Linked DNA regions of Coturnix japonica. The protein of the gene in region 2 purifies or fractionates together with the protein of the main gene of each other region. This does not show direct contact. Links are inferred from orthologs where the notes say so. Each region holds a gene or a part of one and is shown on either strand. Other genes may lie near its edges.

Region 1 (7,247 bases), on a different chromosome or scaffold from region 2:
ATTAAAATCCTTTATGTGCGTTCTATTCAAGCCCAGGCCAGCTGCTGTCCGCTCTTTCATTGCCATCTCTTGCCAGGCTGTACATGTTTGACCTCTCCTGAAGCACGGATGTGCTGTACACCCAGTCATTAATTTGACAAGCTAAGAACATGTCCAAGAGATTTACTCACTCGCTTTCTGATGATATAATAGATGACCTGCTGTTATTTTCTTGTGCAAAACTTCACTTACAGGAAGAATTTTGGTGAGTTCAAAAACTGTGGCACTTCCCTCCACACTGCCCACAGTCACAATGAACAATAAATATATTTGGACTTCTTGCTAGTCACTGTTAAGCCAATTCCTGTTATTTATAGATCTATGGAACTGGTATTATCTTGCTACTTTATACAACCAATTTTTGCCTAAAACTTAGGGAGCATTGGAGCATTCTTAATTAAGATTTCTAGTTAGTTTGAATTGACTGTGGGAGTAATAAGAAAAGAATGAGGTTTTATTTCTCAGCTGTGCTTTTCTCTTGCAGTATGATGGTCTTTGGACAAAATCATTACCTGAACATCTATTAGCTTTTCCACGAGCAAAATGGCAATGGTAACTCTTTAAAAAGTGTCTCCAGTAAAGCACAAGAATCAAAACCACTCAGAAGCACTCATCACTGAAATTAGGGGCCCAAATACCAACTCTAGTGGAAACTGTATCTACTGTATCCCATGGCAGCTGCAGCTCCTCACAGCTGAGGGGCAGCGCTGAGCTCTGCTCTGTGTGACAGCAACAGGGCCCCAGGGAACGGCATGGAGCTGTGTCAGGGGAGGAGCGGGTAGGGCTAGGGACAGAGTGTGCACCAGAGGGCGGTGGGCACGGAACGGGCTGCACAGGGCAGTGAACGCGGCCCTGAGCTGCCCAGAGTTCAAAGAGCATTTGGACAGCGCTCTCAGCCATAGGGTTTTGTTTTTATGTGGTTCTGTGTAGAGTCAGCTCACACATTGGACTCAGTGATCTGTGTGGGTCCACTCCAACTCAGGACATGCTGTGACACTCTATGAGCAGCAGCAGCTTCTGTGCAGCCTGCCTTTCAGCAGGGGGAAGGAGGACAGAGCACACTGACTGCAGCTTACATGGAGACATGGGATCTCTCCAACAAAAATCTTTATTATCGCACAGCTGCAAAATAAGCGACTGCTCACCTTATGCTTTCTCTGCTCTCTTTTCTATCTGTTACATGCACCCTCTACCCAGGCAGTACGTGTACACAATGGCCACAGTCTCAATGCAGAATTATTTCACACACGCGATTTAAACCATACCTTGGGAATAAGTGTGGCTGTGAGTCGGGCACCGACATCTGGATAGCAGGAAAGAAAAAACACAAAGAACACACAAAGAACACAACACAAGTACTGAAGTGCCGTTTTAAAGGTAAAACTAAGGCAGAACACCCGAAGGAATCCCTCAGAACCTCCTGCAGGCATTCAACCACCCGTCCCGCCCGCACTCACGCCGCCCGCTGCAGCTGCCTGAGGAGGCGCACGGCCCGCTCCCGCCCGGCCGCCATGGCGCTGCACGGCCCGCTGGGACGGCACGGCCGGGAACACCCCTCAGGAGCCGCGGGGCGGGACGCCGGGGGACTTGGCTGCAGCGCTACCGCTCAGCTCTTCACAAGCCTCGTTGTCCTTCTCTGGACCTGCTTCAGCACCTCACAGAATCACAGAATGAGCCGGGTTGGAAGGGACCTCAAGGATCATGTAGTTCCAACCCCCCTGCCTGGCAGGGCCACCAAACATACACATTTACTAGATCGGGTTGCCCAGGGCCCCGTCCAACCTGGCCTTGAACACCTCCAAGGACGGGGCATCCACAACCTCCCTGGGCAGCCTGTTCCAGGGCCTAACCACTCTCCTTGTGAAGAACTTCCCCCCAGCATCCAACCTAAATCTTCCCTCTTTTAACTTAAAACCATTTCCCCGTGTCAGCCCTTTCAAAGAGTTTACTCCCTTCCTGGGAGTAAGTTCCCTTCAGGTATTGAAAGGCTGCAATGAGGTCACCCCACAACCTTCTCTTCTCCAGGCTGAACAAACCCAACTTTCTCAGCCTGTCCTCATAGGGGAGGTGCTCCAGCCCCCTGATCACCTTCGTGGCCCTCCTCTGGACCCTTTCCAAAATCTCCATATCTTTTTTGTACTGAGGGCTCCACACCTGGACACAGTACTCCAGATGGGGCCTCACAAGAGCAGAGTAGAGAGGGACGATCACCTCCCTATCCCTGCTGACCACCCCTCTCCTGATGGAGCCCAGGATCCCATTTGCTTTCCGGGCCGCCAGAGCGCACTGCTGGCTCATGTTAAGTCTTTCGTCCATCAGGACCCCCAGGTCCTTCTCTGCTGAGCTGCTCTCAAGGACCACTCCTCAAGGACCTCCCCATTGCAGAACACAGGAGCTGCTGCCCAGCCACCCCCAAGCCCTCCCACAGGAGCCGTGCACAAGACATTTCAAACACCAAAATGTGTTTATTGACAGAGGTGCGGGCTGCACAGCGGTGGATGTGGAGCAGTCCCTTTGCACCCCTCGCATACAGTCCCTCAGTGCCCACGGCGCTGTTCCCTTTGCAGCCTGCATGCAGACAGTCCCTCACGCCTTCTTCCTCCTGCCACCGCCCCCCGCTGGCTGCTGCTGCCGTCGGGCCGCGCCGCCCTTCTTGCCGCCTCCGCTCCTCTTCCCGGGCCGCTGCTGCCGGCGGCCCCGCTTTCCACGCTGTCCCCGCTTCTTGCCCTTGGCGGCGGCCGCCTCGGCATCCTCCTCGCGGAGCTGCTTGTTGACGGCGCGGGTGATGTCCAGTGCCGGCTTCTTGCTGTTCATGCCCCGCAGCAGCTCCAGCTGCCGCCCGCGCTCGGCCGCCAGGTCTCCCAGCAGCGGCTGGAAGCGCCGTTTCTTGCCGCCGTCGCGGGAGGGCGGCTCCGCCGGCTCCTTGGGCAGCCGCGGCTGGAAGCGGCCGAGCGAGGCGGTGGAGACGCGGGCCACGCGCGATACCAGGCCCAGCTCCTGCCGGCTCTGGTGGCCCGTAGGGTGCAGCGGGGCGGCGGCGGCGGGGCGGTGCGCTCGGGCCAGGTTCCGCAGCCGGTTGAGCTCGTTGCGGGCCACCCGCTCCCTCTTGGCGTGCCGCAGCTTGGCGAACTGGTCCTCGTTCGGGTCTGCGCCCGCCGGCACCTCCGCCAACCAGGCGCGGGCCGGGTCGCCGCCCGCCCGCCGGTACCCCCAGCGCCGCCGCCACTCCTTGGCCTCCTCGTCCCACACCAGCGAGGTCCGCTTGCGGCGCCGGATGCCCTTCAGCCGGGCGAACTGCTCCCAGCGCGTGGGGGGCCGCGGGCGAGGCGGCGGCTTCTCCCGGGGCAGGCGGAACGCGGGCTCGGGCAGCCGCGCCACCAGCGGCCCCGCCGCCCCGTCCGCCCGCTCGGCCGGCAGCTCCCACAGCCGCGCCGCCAACAGCTGCGCGTTGTCCCGGGCCAGCGCCCGCAGCCGCGACTCCCGCTGCGGCCCGGCCCCGCGTAGCGCCGCGGCGGGAGGCGGGTTGGGGTCCAGCGCCAGCAGGTTGCCCAGGTCGAACTCCAGCTCCAGCTCCTTCTCCACCTGCACGCTCCGCGCCTGCTGCTGCTCCTGGGCCGCCGCCGCCGCCAGCACCTCCTCCACTCGCACGGCCGCCATGGTGGCGGACCGCGTGTGGCCGCCCGAGCGCAGGAAGCGCGGCGCAGCAATACGGGTCAGTGCGACGGAACTGCGTACAGAGCCCGGAATGACGGGAAATGTAGGCTGCACAGATACGGGCCTCAGCGCCCCATGGGAGATGTAGTACACCATGCCGGGCACAGCGGCTTCCACAGTCCCTCAGCCCGCTGTGTGGTGGTTGCCACAGTCCTTCGCCCCGCTGTGTGGTGGTTGCCAAGCAGGCATTGCATTTAGCCCCAGCATGGGACAGGGCTGGAGTGAGGGTCTGTGAAAGTCAGGTGTTGCTGCCCCGTGGTATCACGGAAGGCCAGGGCTGTGACTGAATGTGCAGCATCCAGGGTGAGCAAACGGCCTCACAGCTCTGCCAGCCACTGTGGGTGGTGTGTGTGATAGCACGCAAACATCAAGCAGGTTTAAGACTCACAGATTTGTAAATAATATAGATACATTTCTTTCACAGCATAAATTTCCATAACATTCAGGTGCCCGCAGCACTGCGGCACAGCCATGTCTAAAAGTTCTAGCCGCAGAACCAAAATTCAAGTCCCATATAGTCCTCCCCAGGTGCCCAGGGAGGTTGTGGATGCCCCGTCCTTGGAGGTGTTCAAGACCAGGTTGGACGGGGCCCTGGGCAACCTGATCTAGTAAATGTGTATGTTTGGTGGCCCTGCCAGGCAGGGGGGTTGGAACTACATGATCCTTGAGGTCCCTTCCAACCCGGGTCATTCTGTGATTCTGTGATATTCCAGCCCCACTAGGACTGACAGTGACCCTGAGGGCAGGGCTGTTGGTGAAGGAAGAAGGGGAACAGCATTTGGATAGTGGGATTGGCAGGTGCCTCATGAAGCACAGTGAAAAGTGAGGTGACACCGTGCACCCAAAGGTTGTCTGGGTCAGAGATATTGCCATGCTATTTTTAAATAAATGAGGTCTGGAAGGATCCTTTTACAGGGATGTGGCCTGCATGGCCATGACATTTCGAGCTGACTCATGTACCCTCAAAACAAGCTAAAGGGGGCGTCTAGTTGTGGCCAAGGAAGTTATGGGAATTTTTACACAAGATACACATTTCTACTAAGCTAAATCACATCTCTACGGATACATAATGTCTGCAGTGACGGAAATGACTCTAACGGCAGAGCAGTGTTTTGGGGAAGTAAATAAAATGCTAGGCTTGTAAATAGAGATGAATGTACTTATAATTCTAACTGTGATAAAGTCTCGTTTTTTTCCACTCCCAAGTCAACAATTCTGAGTGTGTTTTGTACACTATGGAAGAATTGGAGCAGATGACGCATACCTTTTCTCCTTTTACCACAAGATGGCATTGCACTGGAGGCTATGCTCTTTCTTGGACCTCGTTATTTTTTCACCTAGAATTACAGATGAAATTAACTTTAAAGATGCGTCTTTGAAGGGATGTATGTGCACTATTAGATGAGATTCAAGCATACGTCTGTACTTTTGAATGGCAGTCTGGTCAATACCTACCTGCTGATCCTTGTGCTCTCCTGAGTTTTGTTCTTATGCAGTGAACTCTGAGTTCTTTTGGTTAATATTTGTTCAAAGCCCCAAAGCGTTCATATAAATGACTAGGAGTGGAAGGATGCAATCGCTAGTATTTCTTACACTTCCAAAGTTACCTTGAGAGTTTATGATTACTGTGTGTCACTAGAACAGCAGTAGGAGCACATACCAGGACTTGTTGTTTCATCTGATAGCCTGAACTTGCTAAGAAAAGAAAAAGAAGAAAAAAAAGCCCATAATGTAGCAATTCAATTTCTGGGAACTGTTGTTTTAGAGTTGCATTCCAGCTTTCTTATGTATTCCAGGAACTGTAATTTGCTATATGGGTGCTTGCAAATCAGTAAACAGGTCTGTTTGTTTGCTGCAATGGGGATCCTTGCCAGGAAACTCGGCACTCAGTACACTTGGCCTAAAACTGAGTTCAAAGGTGAGTTTTTTAATGCCTTTTTGTTTTTCTTTTTTCCCCCCTCCCTTTGCTGTATATTTCATTGCTGGAAGCAAGGAATTGTTCCTGTGCACTTATGCATGTGGTTGGACAGTCGCAATTAGTAATAAACAGAAAATCTATTTTGATTCAGTTTGGATTGGTTTTTTTTTTTTGCTATTAATCAATATTATACTTCCATCAGTCTAGGTAAGTCTTTGCAATGTGTCACAAGTGAACGTTATACACATTCTCAAAGCATTAAAAAAAATACAGCATATAGTTTTAATACATTACTAGGGAATAAGATTGAAAAAGCTTCTTACATCTTTTCAAAGACTCAGACTTCTTAATGGGCATGAGTGAAACCCTGATGGAGCTGAAGTCTTTGGTGGTTTTGCTGTAGTTCTTGGCAAAGCCAGATTTTACTTACCTCACACAGAAATTTCATGGTCTATGTATGGATAGACTTCTGTTGTGTAGCAGAAAGAAATCACTGTTAGGTTTACTGACAACACCAGACCTTTTGTACTGTAAGCACTGAAGAACAGATATAAGTGAAGAACTGAATGAAAGTTCATACTCTTCTTAGCAAACTTACTGTCTCTTCAGTGTGAATTATAGTAATACATAACCACATTTGTGCATGTGTGTGCTTAATTCCTTAATACTTGCTTACTTTCTGTACAGTAGATGATCAGACAGAAGTTGGCTGCTCTGTCAGAGTGCAAGGTATCTTTGTGGTGAGAAAAGCTTTGGTTTGTTTCTGTGTTTGTTTGGTGCTTCTTACTGCAGTTGTGGCCTGCAGGAACAGCATAAGATGACACAGTGTGACTTGCAGGAGCACTTTGCCAAAAGTGCAATAGAAAGCATAACACAGGATGCAACGCACAGAGTGAACCACAACATCAATAAGCTATAATGTGTCTTAACCCTGCTTAGCTTTTATTTTTATAACTTCTGTTCAGCTGCGATACAACCTAAACCTTGTATCCCTTAAGAACTGCTCTAATATACAGTATTCACATCTTACTGTTCGTGATAGAATTAATGTCGATTTACTCTTCGAACTTTTGTCGATTACCTCTGGATGGCACTAGATGTAGTTGCAAGATGATTCAGAGAATTCTTAAACCTGCTGGAAGGATCATTATGAAGAATGCTTTTATCAGGGAAACTCAAAGTGCTGGTAATTTTGGCAAATAGTAGAAAGTACCCTTGAAATGCGCACACTGTCTCCAAATGAGGCAGTGATCCCTTGATTTTGTTCGGTACACTTTACATGGAAATTTACGTGGTAGAATTTCATCATATAAGGGAGAAGTTAGCTCACTGAAGCTATACTGAGAACAACAGTTGGAAGGAAGGAAGGAAGGAAGGAAGGAAGGAAGGAAGGAAGAAGGAAGCGAAAGGAAGGAAGCAGGAAGAGAAGAAAGAAAGAAAGAAAGAAAGAAAGAAAGAAAGAAAGAAAGAAAGAAAGAAAGAAAGAAAGAAAGAAAGAAAGAAAGAAAGAGAGAGAAAGAGAGAGAGAAAGAAAGAGAGAAGGAAAGAGAGAAGGAAAGAGAGAAAGAGAGAAAGA
Region 2 (8,356 bases):
TACCAGAAACCATAAACTATCCTTTATCATTTATGTTCTAGATGACATTATACTAGAAATGGTGTCACAGCAAATGGAAGAGCTGCTGGTTGAAATAAAAAGCCGGTTTCCATCTAGCATGGTACGCAGAAATCACTGACAATAACGGGTGCTTGCTTAATGTTACAGACTTTGTCATTCTCAAATGGTTGGAGTTACATACTGCAGAACTTTACAGAACTGTGTGAACAGTGAAGCTGTACAAACTCACTTCTGATAGTTTGCCTGAAGGGTTAAAAGTTAAATTCCAACACAGTCATAATGGGGAAAAACAAACTGTTAAAACACCAGAAATGTCTAACAGATAACAGAATGGTTATTTGAGCTATTTAATGTGTCATTCTAAAATTTCCTTTACAATGGCTTGCTGTCAGGTAGCTATCAATGAGAAGGTGTCTTTTCCCCAGCAAGCCAATATAACTGGGTAGTCTTATAACACTTTATATTCAGCTATGCATTTAGTCTGCTTACATAAATTGTCTCAGACAGATGCAAACAAACTTGTTCTCCACTGTCTCCTGCAGGCACTGCCTGAAGCACATTAATGAAAGCTGAAGCTATAAGTTAGTGCATTAAAAAACAAAACAAAAACAAAGCAGAAATGAGAAGAAAACAGCTCCCGCTGTTGCAAATGCAATTTGTTGTTCCCTGTGCTCCATAACAGACAAAGCAGACAGACGAGCAGAATCTCTTAATCTAGCAGTATGCTGTGTGACATGCAACTGCTAATTCTCTGAAACCTGTACCTTGCTACTTTCCACTGCTTAGGTTATTAAAACTGTATTAGTATTCAGTCTGACAATTACAACTGCTTTGGATTTTGCAGAATCAAACCCCATGTGTTTTAAAACATCATTTGTTTTAAAGGCTTAACTGTTTAAACACAGTTCTTTATTAATAGAGAAGTACAAAAATAATTGAAACAACAAGGTAATCTTATATTTATCAGTTCCCATATTTCTCTACAGGAGATTATGGCCCTTGTGGACACAGCACTTTTGAGACTGCAGGAGTAAAAGCTTTCTGTATAAGAACAAGACCTGCAGACTTCTGGCTCAGATATAAAAGCCTGGATTATCCTGAAGTATTTCACAAGATATTTCTCACCAGGAAGATTACTATTGGGCCATTAACAATACTTAATTCTACGTTGTGTTTAGTTATCACAACTGTGAGACTAATAGCAATATTTAAGAACTTGCTTTACTTTGTAGACTTCAAAAATATCCAAAATAAAGGTTTTAGTCTTGACAGTTTCAGTAAAGCAGTATCAGTTTCTTCCTTCATCCATCACAATTTAAAAGTGCTCTCTTTTTATTGTTCATTTAATATTTATTTCCTATTATTGACGAAGTACTTCACAAATGCAGGCATTTGCAAGTATTGTTCCATTAGGTGTAAGTACTATACAGAAAGGGGATACTTCAGCAGTATTCTTGTATGTGAATGTTGCCATTCTGTGCTGGGCTTTTGTTTGTATTATTGTATGAAATTACTGCTGTTAGTTCTGAGCAGCTCTCCTTGAATTTGCCTGGGATCTGACAGTGAAGCAGCAAATGCAGTTAAATAACACAGTGTGGAATCATTCAAGTCTCACAGTTTGACTTTAGATTTGTTCTTAAGAGCAGCTTCCCATTTCTTTTTCTCTAAGGTGTACAGTCTCATAGCTGCTTGTGCATCCTGAATCTGAAAGAAAACAGAACAGGAGGCTTAACTTAACAAAACATGGCTTGACATGACTTAAAAATGTTATTGTTCATAAACAGTGAAATCTTTCATTTTAATACATCCTTTCAAGTAATGTTTCATAATCTTCTATATTCAGATATTGACTGACTAGTGGAGGGAGGTGAACGTGTAAGGTGCCCATACAATGCTGTGCAATGCTCTCTCTGATCATGACTTGGAAAATCATTATGAGAAAATAGCCTTGATTACAGCACCTTGGAGATACCTGCATAACATGCTCATTTTTTCAACTCCTTTACCTGTTTCAGTGGATAAGAGAGGCTATAACTGCTGAGAGTAGGCTCTCACTACTGATGCATTTATTTCTATCCTCTTCAACACAGAGCAACAGTGCAGCGTGCTGCTTTTAATGTAAGCAATTTGACATTACTTTTCTCCCTGGGGATCTTAAAATAACAAGAACTAAAACAAGAATCAGTATTTAAAAATATGGTTGACTTGTGAAAAAGTAGTTTATGAAAGTATCCAAGTGGTGTAAGAAAACTTAGATAGAGTGTAAGAAAACTTAGATAGCAACCTTTTTACATGACTGTATCCAAGCAGAGCTTGCTGACTTTCATTGAGAGGTGAGAATGAAGGCATGGGATTCCAGAATGAACTCTGATCCCAGAAGCAATGTGTACCATGCTGTCAATCTACCCATAAAAGGCTACATTGATGAGATACGTACCGAGCAGTGCTCTGATGTCTGCACTTTAACATCTAGAATTCTATCACAGAGCAGCTTCAACGATGGCCGTGCGCACTAGAAATATAAAGATTAAATCACGCTTTATCACGCTGCTTGAATTATGTATGTGTATATATACAGCTTCCCTTGGTGAACTGGCAAGGAGAATTAATGAATTATGAGGCTTATGCACATCTGTTTGTCCTGCTTAGAGGATTGTCTATGTGGTCCCATAACCCTGAGGTTTAGGTTTGAGGTGTTTTACTGTGAAAAACAGAGTATGTAGTTATGAAAAGTAAAATAATGTCCTATGCTGTTTCTTCTGGAGTCCAAGTAGAAACTTGAAACCATCTATTTTTTTAATATCCATGTGCAAATGACACTATTAAGAGTATCCAGTGTCCTTACTATAAATGTAAAATCTTATTTTGCTATTCCAGAAGAGCGTTATGAAGACCATGTACATGCTAAGGAGTGGGAGGACTGCTGAACCTTGTGCAGAGGTATTACAGGTAATACTTACAGCTAACAAAGTAACACTGCTATACTTCAAACAGTAACCAAGCATTCAGTTAGACTGGTATTTTCAACCAACAAAAAGTTGATATCTCTGTTTCAGGTTGGAAAGAAGAAATGGGGACAAGTGAGGCAAGCACAGGAGTGAGTGGGCTAAAAGCTGGGAGTCGGCAGCTCTGGTGTCAGTTAATCAAGGTACTCCTTTCCATCACTTTCTTACCATGACTCTCTGTCTGAAAGGTTTGTATTTTTGCGTGTCGCGCATTTTCTTCTTAGGATGATCAAGGAATAAGACCTGAAAGAAATCACATTTCCAGCGTAAAGAGTGATGCTACACAAAAACTGATACAGCTGAATACACAGCTTCCTGCTCTTCAGCATCTAAATCAGTGCTATTAAGATCAGTGTGCAAGCTGAAGAACTTGGTGTGCCAGCAAACAGGGCTACACTTGGTACAATGTGAGAGGACAAGAAACTGAGCTAACAGCTAAAAAGCAGCAGTTCCTATGAGTTTAGGTGTGTTATTTGACTGATCCAGGAAGATGAATAATAAATTCACTGATTTTCAGTGTTTGGAGCTTTGTCTTCATAGCAACAAATCTGCAGCTGTGTTACCTTTAGGTCATTGTGTAATGCATGCCCAACTAATATCCTTCCATTCAAGATATCAGCGACCTCCTTCTGAACTGTTTTAAAGTCTTCACCTAAAGATGAGATGGAACACTTGGCATTAGACACACAAAACATCTAAGCAACCTACAACCAGAATATGGCATCTTTGTTGTGAAGACAGCGTTATACCTTATGGGACTGTGGTTACACAAGTTTGTGCTGTACAATCAACCCTCAGCTTGTTACAAGAGCCTACCTGTCTTTAGATGCTCAGGTCGTATGCCGCTAACAGCTGTCCTGTAATCCGTCACCTCTTCTGTAGGCTTGACATACTTGTCATAAATGCACTTTCCAAACCGGTTCACAATGGACACACGAGCCACAATGCTGTCTTCGCCGTTGGGTCCCACTCCCACCATCTCACAGTCCATAGCTACAGCTCTTGTAAGGCTGAAAAAGAAAAAGACAACTCAGTGACGCATCTCTTTACAGGGACCACACAGCAGAGCTGCGAGCAGCAGACTCAGATGTCAGCTTAAACTTTGTCTACAGCCATTACAAGCTAATTGTGATGCCTCTGCTGCTGTGTCTCCTGCTTGGAACACCACTCACCCTCCAGAAGACTTCTCTTTAACCAGCACCTGCTCCACAGTCCGTTTGGGTTGGCCTGTTTCAAGTCCCATTTTCCTTCTAGCAACTTCTGCTGCTTCAGGTCCTATTGCTGCTTCAATATCATTTGGATCAACATCATCAAACCAGATGTCGGGCCTGGTAAGTATAAATTTAACTGTGTTAAATAGTCTTAAAGTGACAGTGCATCTCCACCATGCACAAAAAGCACATTTATCTTTTAAAATCAAGAAAGCAGCTATCTCAAAAGTAGTCTATGCTGTTATCTATGCAGATTTATTGTGAGGAGGGGCAGCATTCATCTTCTGTTGCCCACATTCTAGCCTGGAAGAGCACAGCTATTTGGAACGTATTTCATTGTACACCTCCTAGAATACATTACCATGTGCTGATGCTTGAAGTACTCACTCTTTGGGCTGCTGTGCTTTATCGTCAGCTTTCCTCTTCTTATGTTTCACGTCGCTCTTCTCCTTTTCAATGCTGCCGTTTTTCCTTTTCTCTTTGCAGCCCTTCCCATTGCTTTTGATGCCGTTCACACTCTTGTCCTTCTCATCTCTCCTGCCTTTGGGCTCAGCCATAGGAGCGCCACCATCAGCAGAACTCTTGGCCCTCTGATCTGTGTGTTTAGGCTTTGAATTCTTGTCAGTTGCAGCCTTCTTGTGTTTCACCTTGCCCACAGGAGGGCTGTGTGCATTCAGACCCCCGTCCTTTTTATTTGTGGATTTGGGTTTCAACACGTTTTGATCCCCAGTGCCAGCTGGGACCTGTTGGCTGTTTCCCTCTTTGAGTGGATGCTGCTTCTTGGTGGATGTTTGAGATGAAGGGAGAGTCTCATTCGAGGCACTTGCCTTCTGCTTCAGTAGCTAAAAGAGCCAAAGAAAAGAGGGGGGGAAAAGGAGAGAGAGAGGGATTATCTCCTTGATCATCATCAATTCTCCCCCGATATCACTGAAGCAGAGCAGGGCTCTGGCTGGCTGCAACGCCCCATCCCCCGCGGGTTATTATTACACATAAAAAGTCCTTCTAAATGATTACACCCAGATCGGAACCGAGTTAATGCAGAGCCCGGCATCCAGCCCTGCTCGCCCTCACCTCCTGCAGCGCCTTCCAGTTGGAGGAGAACTCCTGCGGGCTGCGGGGTATGGCCGCCACCGTGGCCGCCTTCGGGCCATTCTGCGCGGCCATCCCCGCCTGCTGCCCGCTGCCCCGCCGGCCTTTCCTCCTCCGACCCTTCCCACCGGCCGCCCCCTCGGGATCCGCTTTCGCCATGCGGAACCACGGCGGGGAAACGGTGCAGCACCCGGCGGGGAACGGCGGATCGAGCTTTGCGTTCCGCTGCGGGGCCGGGGCTGTGCGGGCACCCCCTGGTGGTCAACAGAGGGGAGAAGCCAGCGGTGCATGGAGCGGGGTGTGCGTCCTGCGGGACATCGCCCTGAATCACAGTGCTCAGTCTGTGCTGAGGTTTGGCGAGCAGGAACGCGGAGTTCAACAAATCAGAGCCCTTACCCCGCACAAATTACTCCTTGTTTATTTGGCTGCTGTAGTTGGCCCGAAGCTGCTTCTCTTCGCTGCGCTCCTTGGCTGTAATGAAGTTGCAAATGTTGTGCAAAAAGCTCTCCCTCTCCAGCTGTTCCTGTAAATCCTCCCACAGCAGTTCAATTCCCCCTCGACTGTCCCCCTCTGCAGTCGATCATCTCTCCTGTTTATTTAAACTCTGCATGCTTTGCTTCCGTTCCACGTGATGCCTCAGACCAAGCATTTTAATCACCCCTGGGCCAGAGATTGCTCTGCAGCACTGCTTGCAGTCCCTCCAGCATGATCATCAGTCTGACCATCCGAGTACTCATAATGTTCCCTCTGGGGTTTTGCTGGCCCTCCATCCTCCAAGAGGTAAGCCTGACCTCCAGAAAGCTCCGTTTCCAGGAAGCCTTGTTTTATTTCTAGGAAAAAAAGAAGAGAAAACACACCGTGTTCTAAGCCAAGATGTATCAGACTTCACTAATCAAGAAGATAAAGCTATTTCCTCCGGGTGGCCGTTGTGCAGCGTACGCTTAGTGCAAAATAAAACCATTAGACCTTGGCATCCATACTTGTTAAATTGTTTGCTGACGTCCCTTCCAGGTTCGTTTCGGTTAAATAATAACTTTGTGTCCATTTGTTTTCCCTAAAAAACGTAAAGCTATCCTTCTTCTTGCAGAGGTTTCTCAGAGCTTTGGATGCAGACGATGTTTTCTCTTATTTTGGAACCAGCTCAGCGTCTGATGGTATGCAGAGCTCTTTCCTTCTTGATTTTGGAACACATTTGTCAGTTTATTCCTAATCCCGTACATTTGATAACGCTAAGAACACTTATTAACTAACCCTGCTCTGACAAGTATTTAGCATTTCTGAGTTGCGTTGCTCGGTGAGGTAATCCATGTCTCAGTGTGTAAGCAATTGAAGAACTGGGCCAGTGTTTAAAATCTGCTTAAGGAGCTGTGATAAATCTTTTCCATCCGTGGTCCTTATTTTCTGTACCAGTATTTTTCGACAAGGTTAACAGATCTAAGTCATCTGAATGGGAAGGCATAGACTGAGAACAGCTTTAAGTGCACTTGTTAACGTTTTGAAATGCACAGGTGGAACGTTCTAGGTCTGGATTGTTCTGGATAGTTCAGCATAAAGGTACATTTTGAACTGTCACATTCTTAAAGCAAGGATGCTGTCACTTTGTGAGTTCACCTACTGCTGTTCCCAGCACCTCTGTTCGGGTTATGGTAATTCTCAGTAATATTTAACGTCTGAGGGAGCAAATCTATCTCAGCCTTTGCCAAATGAACTGTTCTCATTGACGAGGGAGAGAAGCACAGGTCATTCAGGAGCCAGTTCCAGAGCTATTGTCTGTTCCCAGTCTGAGTACTCACATTGGAATAGATGAAGTTCTTTGCCTATTGACAAAATGAGGCCATAGCTGTCATTCAGAGAATAATTTTTCCTAAGAAGGCAGATCATTACATTTCTTTTCCATGTATTGTTATTTTTCATAACTATTTCCCTTGTTCTTTTTGTTTGTTTGTTTGTTTTGTGTCTTTCAGTACCTGAGTTTGTTGTTGCTCAGCCAGATTGCCCTTGTAAAGAAGAGCAGACTGGGCTGATGTGTCAGATCCAGCACTGCTCCATTAAGGCTTGGGGAGAAGTGTTCACCTTCGAATTTCTAGAGGACCATACCCTCCTTTCCTCTTCCTTTGTGATCAGCCAAGTGGTGAACTCTTCCTTTAGCTTAATAAAGCGATTCTCAGGCAACTGCTTTGCAGGTGGAAATCTGTTGGCACCTCCTGGGGCTGAGTGTAGAGTCACTTACTGTGAAGGGCAGCTGGTGAGTATGCACTGAACTTATCAGCTTTTCTGCCAGCGTTTACAGCCTTTTCAGGCTTGCAGCTTGAAACCCCAAACACGTGCGAACCATCCATTTAATAAGTCTGAGTGTTACTAAGAAGAAACAGGAAGGATATGGCACACGGTTCTCCATTGTAGCAAGTGTTTGCAATAACTCAGAGGTGGAATTTCATCTCCTCTAGCAAGGAGTCATTGTTACAGATGAAGAAAAGATTCACATCAGGCCTGTCAGAAGAAAAGATACGGCCCTGCTGAAGGATCTTGGCTTCTCCAGACCCCACATTCTCTTCAGACAAGCTGCAATAGGGGCAAAAAAAGCAAGAGGTAAGATGTATGGAGAGAAAGCTCTGGGTGGTTCTGCTTTGACAAACTGTCTTCTGGTAGTGTGGTTGTTTAAGTGAGGAGAAAGAAGAAGGTTTGCATCTGCAAGTATATGATTGTACTTGATGTGTGTTACTCACCTTGCTGAGTTGTAAATAGTGTGCATTTTCCATTAGGTGTTTATTATTTTGATAATACAAACTTGTTATCAAGGATGAAGACAGGGGAAAGAAACCATCTGAAATGGGAAACTTAGGCAAGTAACCACAGAAATGGTTTTCTAGCAGAAGTATTTTAGTCTTTCAGGAAAAGAGAATGGACTTATAGAATCTTCTATGCTGCCTGGCATTTTAAACTCTGTGTCTCTTTCTGTTGTTCTGCAGGGCACTTTGCTTCTCGCCTACAAAAGAGGGCTGATGGAACTGTCAAACATCTGGAGCTGAT

What was found.
Region 1: the proteins of REXO4 (region 2) and RRS1 purify together in Homo sapiens (co-immunoprecipitation; 3 studies listed by BioGRID and IntAct, with this or other methods). This does not show direct contact. The link is inferred for Coturnix japonica from reciprocal best matches to the Homo sapiens genes REXO4 and RRS1.

What each region holds. Positions count from the first base shown.
Region 1 is NC_029517.1:104,228,335-104,235,581, reverse strand, and holds RRS1 (ribosome biogenesis regulatory protein homolog), read right to left. Parts: upstream 3,764-7,247; 5' UTR 3,697-3,763; coding exon 2,626-3,696; 3' UTR 2,485-2,625; downstream 1-2,484. Other genes in the region: ADHFE1 (hydroxyacid-oxoacid transhydrogenase, mitochondrial), read right to left, coding at 1,305-1,342, 1,497-1,552. UniProt on the Homo sapiens protein: Involved in ribosomal large subunit assembly. May regulate the localization of the 5S RNP/5S ribonucleoprotein particle to the nucleolus.
Region 2 is NC_029532.1:5,442,419-5,450,774, forward strand, and holds REXO4 (RNA exonuclease 4), read right to left. Parts: upstream 5,526-8,356; 5' UTR 5,486-5,525; coding exon 5,309-5,485; intron 5,080-5,308; coding exon 4,625-5,079; intron 4,355-4,624; coding exon 4,199-4,354; intron 4,037-4,198; coding exon 3,843-4,036; intron 3,679-3,842; coding exon 3,590-3,678; intron 3,270-3,589; coding exon 3,195-3,269; intron 2,534-3,194; coding exon 2,459-2,533; intron 1,726-2,458; coding exon 1,633-1,725; 3' UTR 1,056-1,632; coding exon of another isoform or gene 1,008-1,055; 3' UTR 171-1,007; downstream 1-170. Other genes in the region: serine/threonine kinase-like domain-containing protein STKLD1, read left to right, coding at 42-121, 1,008-1,055; ADAMTS13 (A disintegrin and metalloproteinase with thrombospondin motifs 13), read left to right, coding at 6,032-6,106, 6,414-6,480, 7,291-7,571, 7,774-7,915, 8,296-8,356.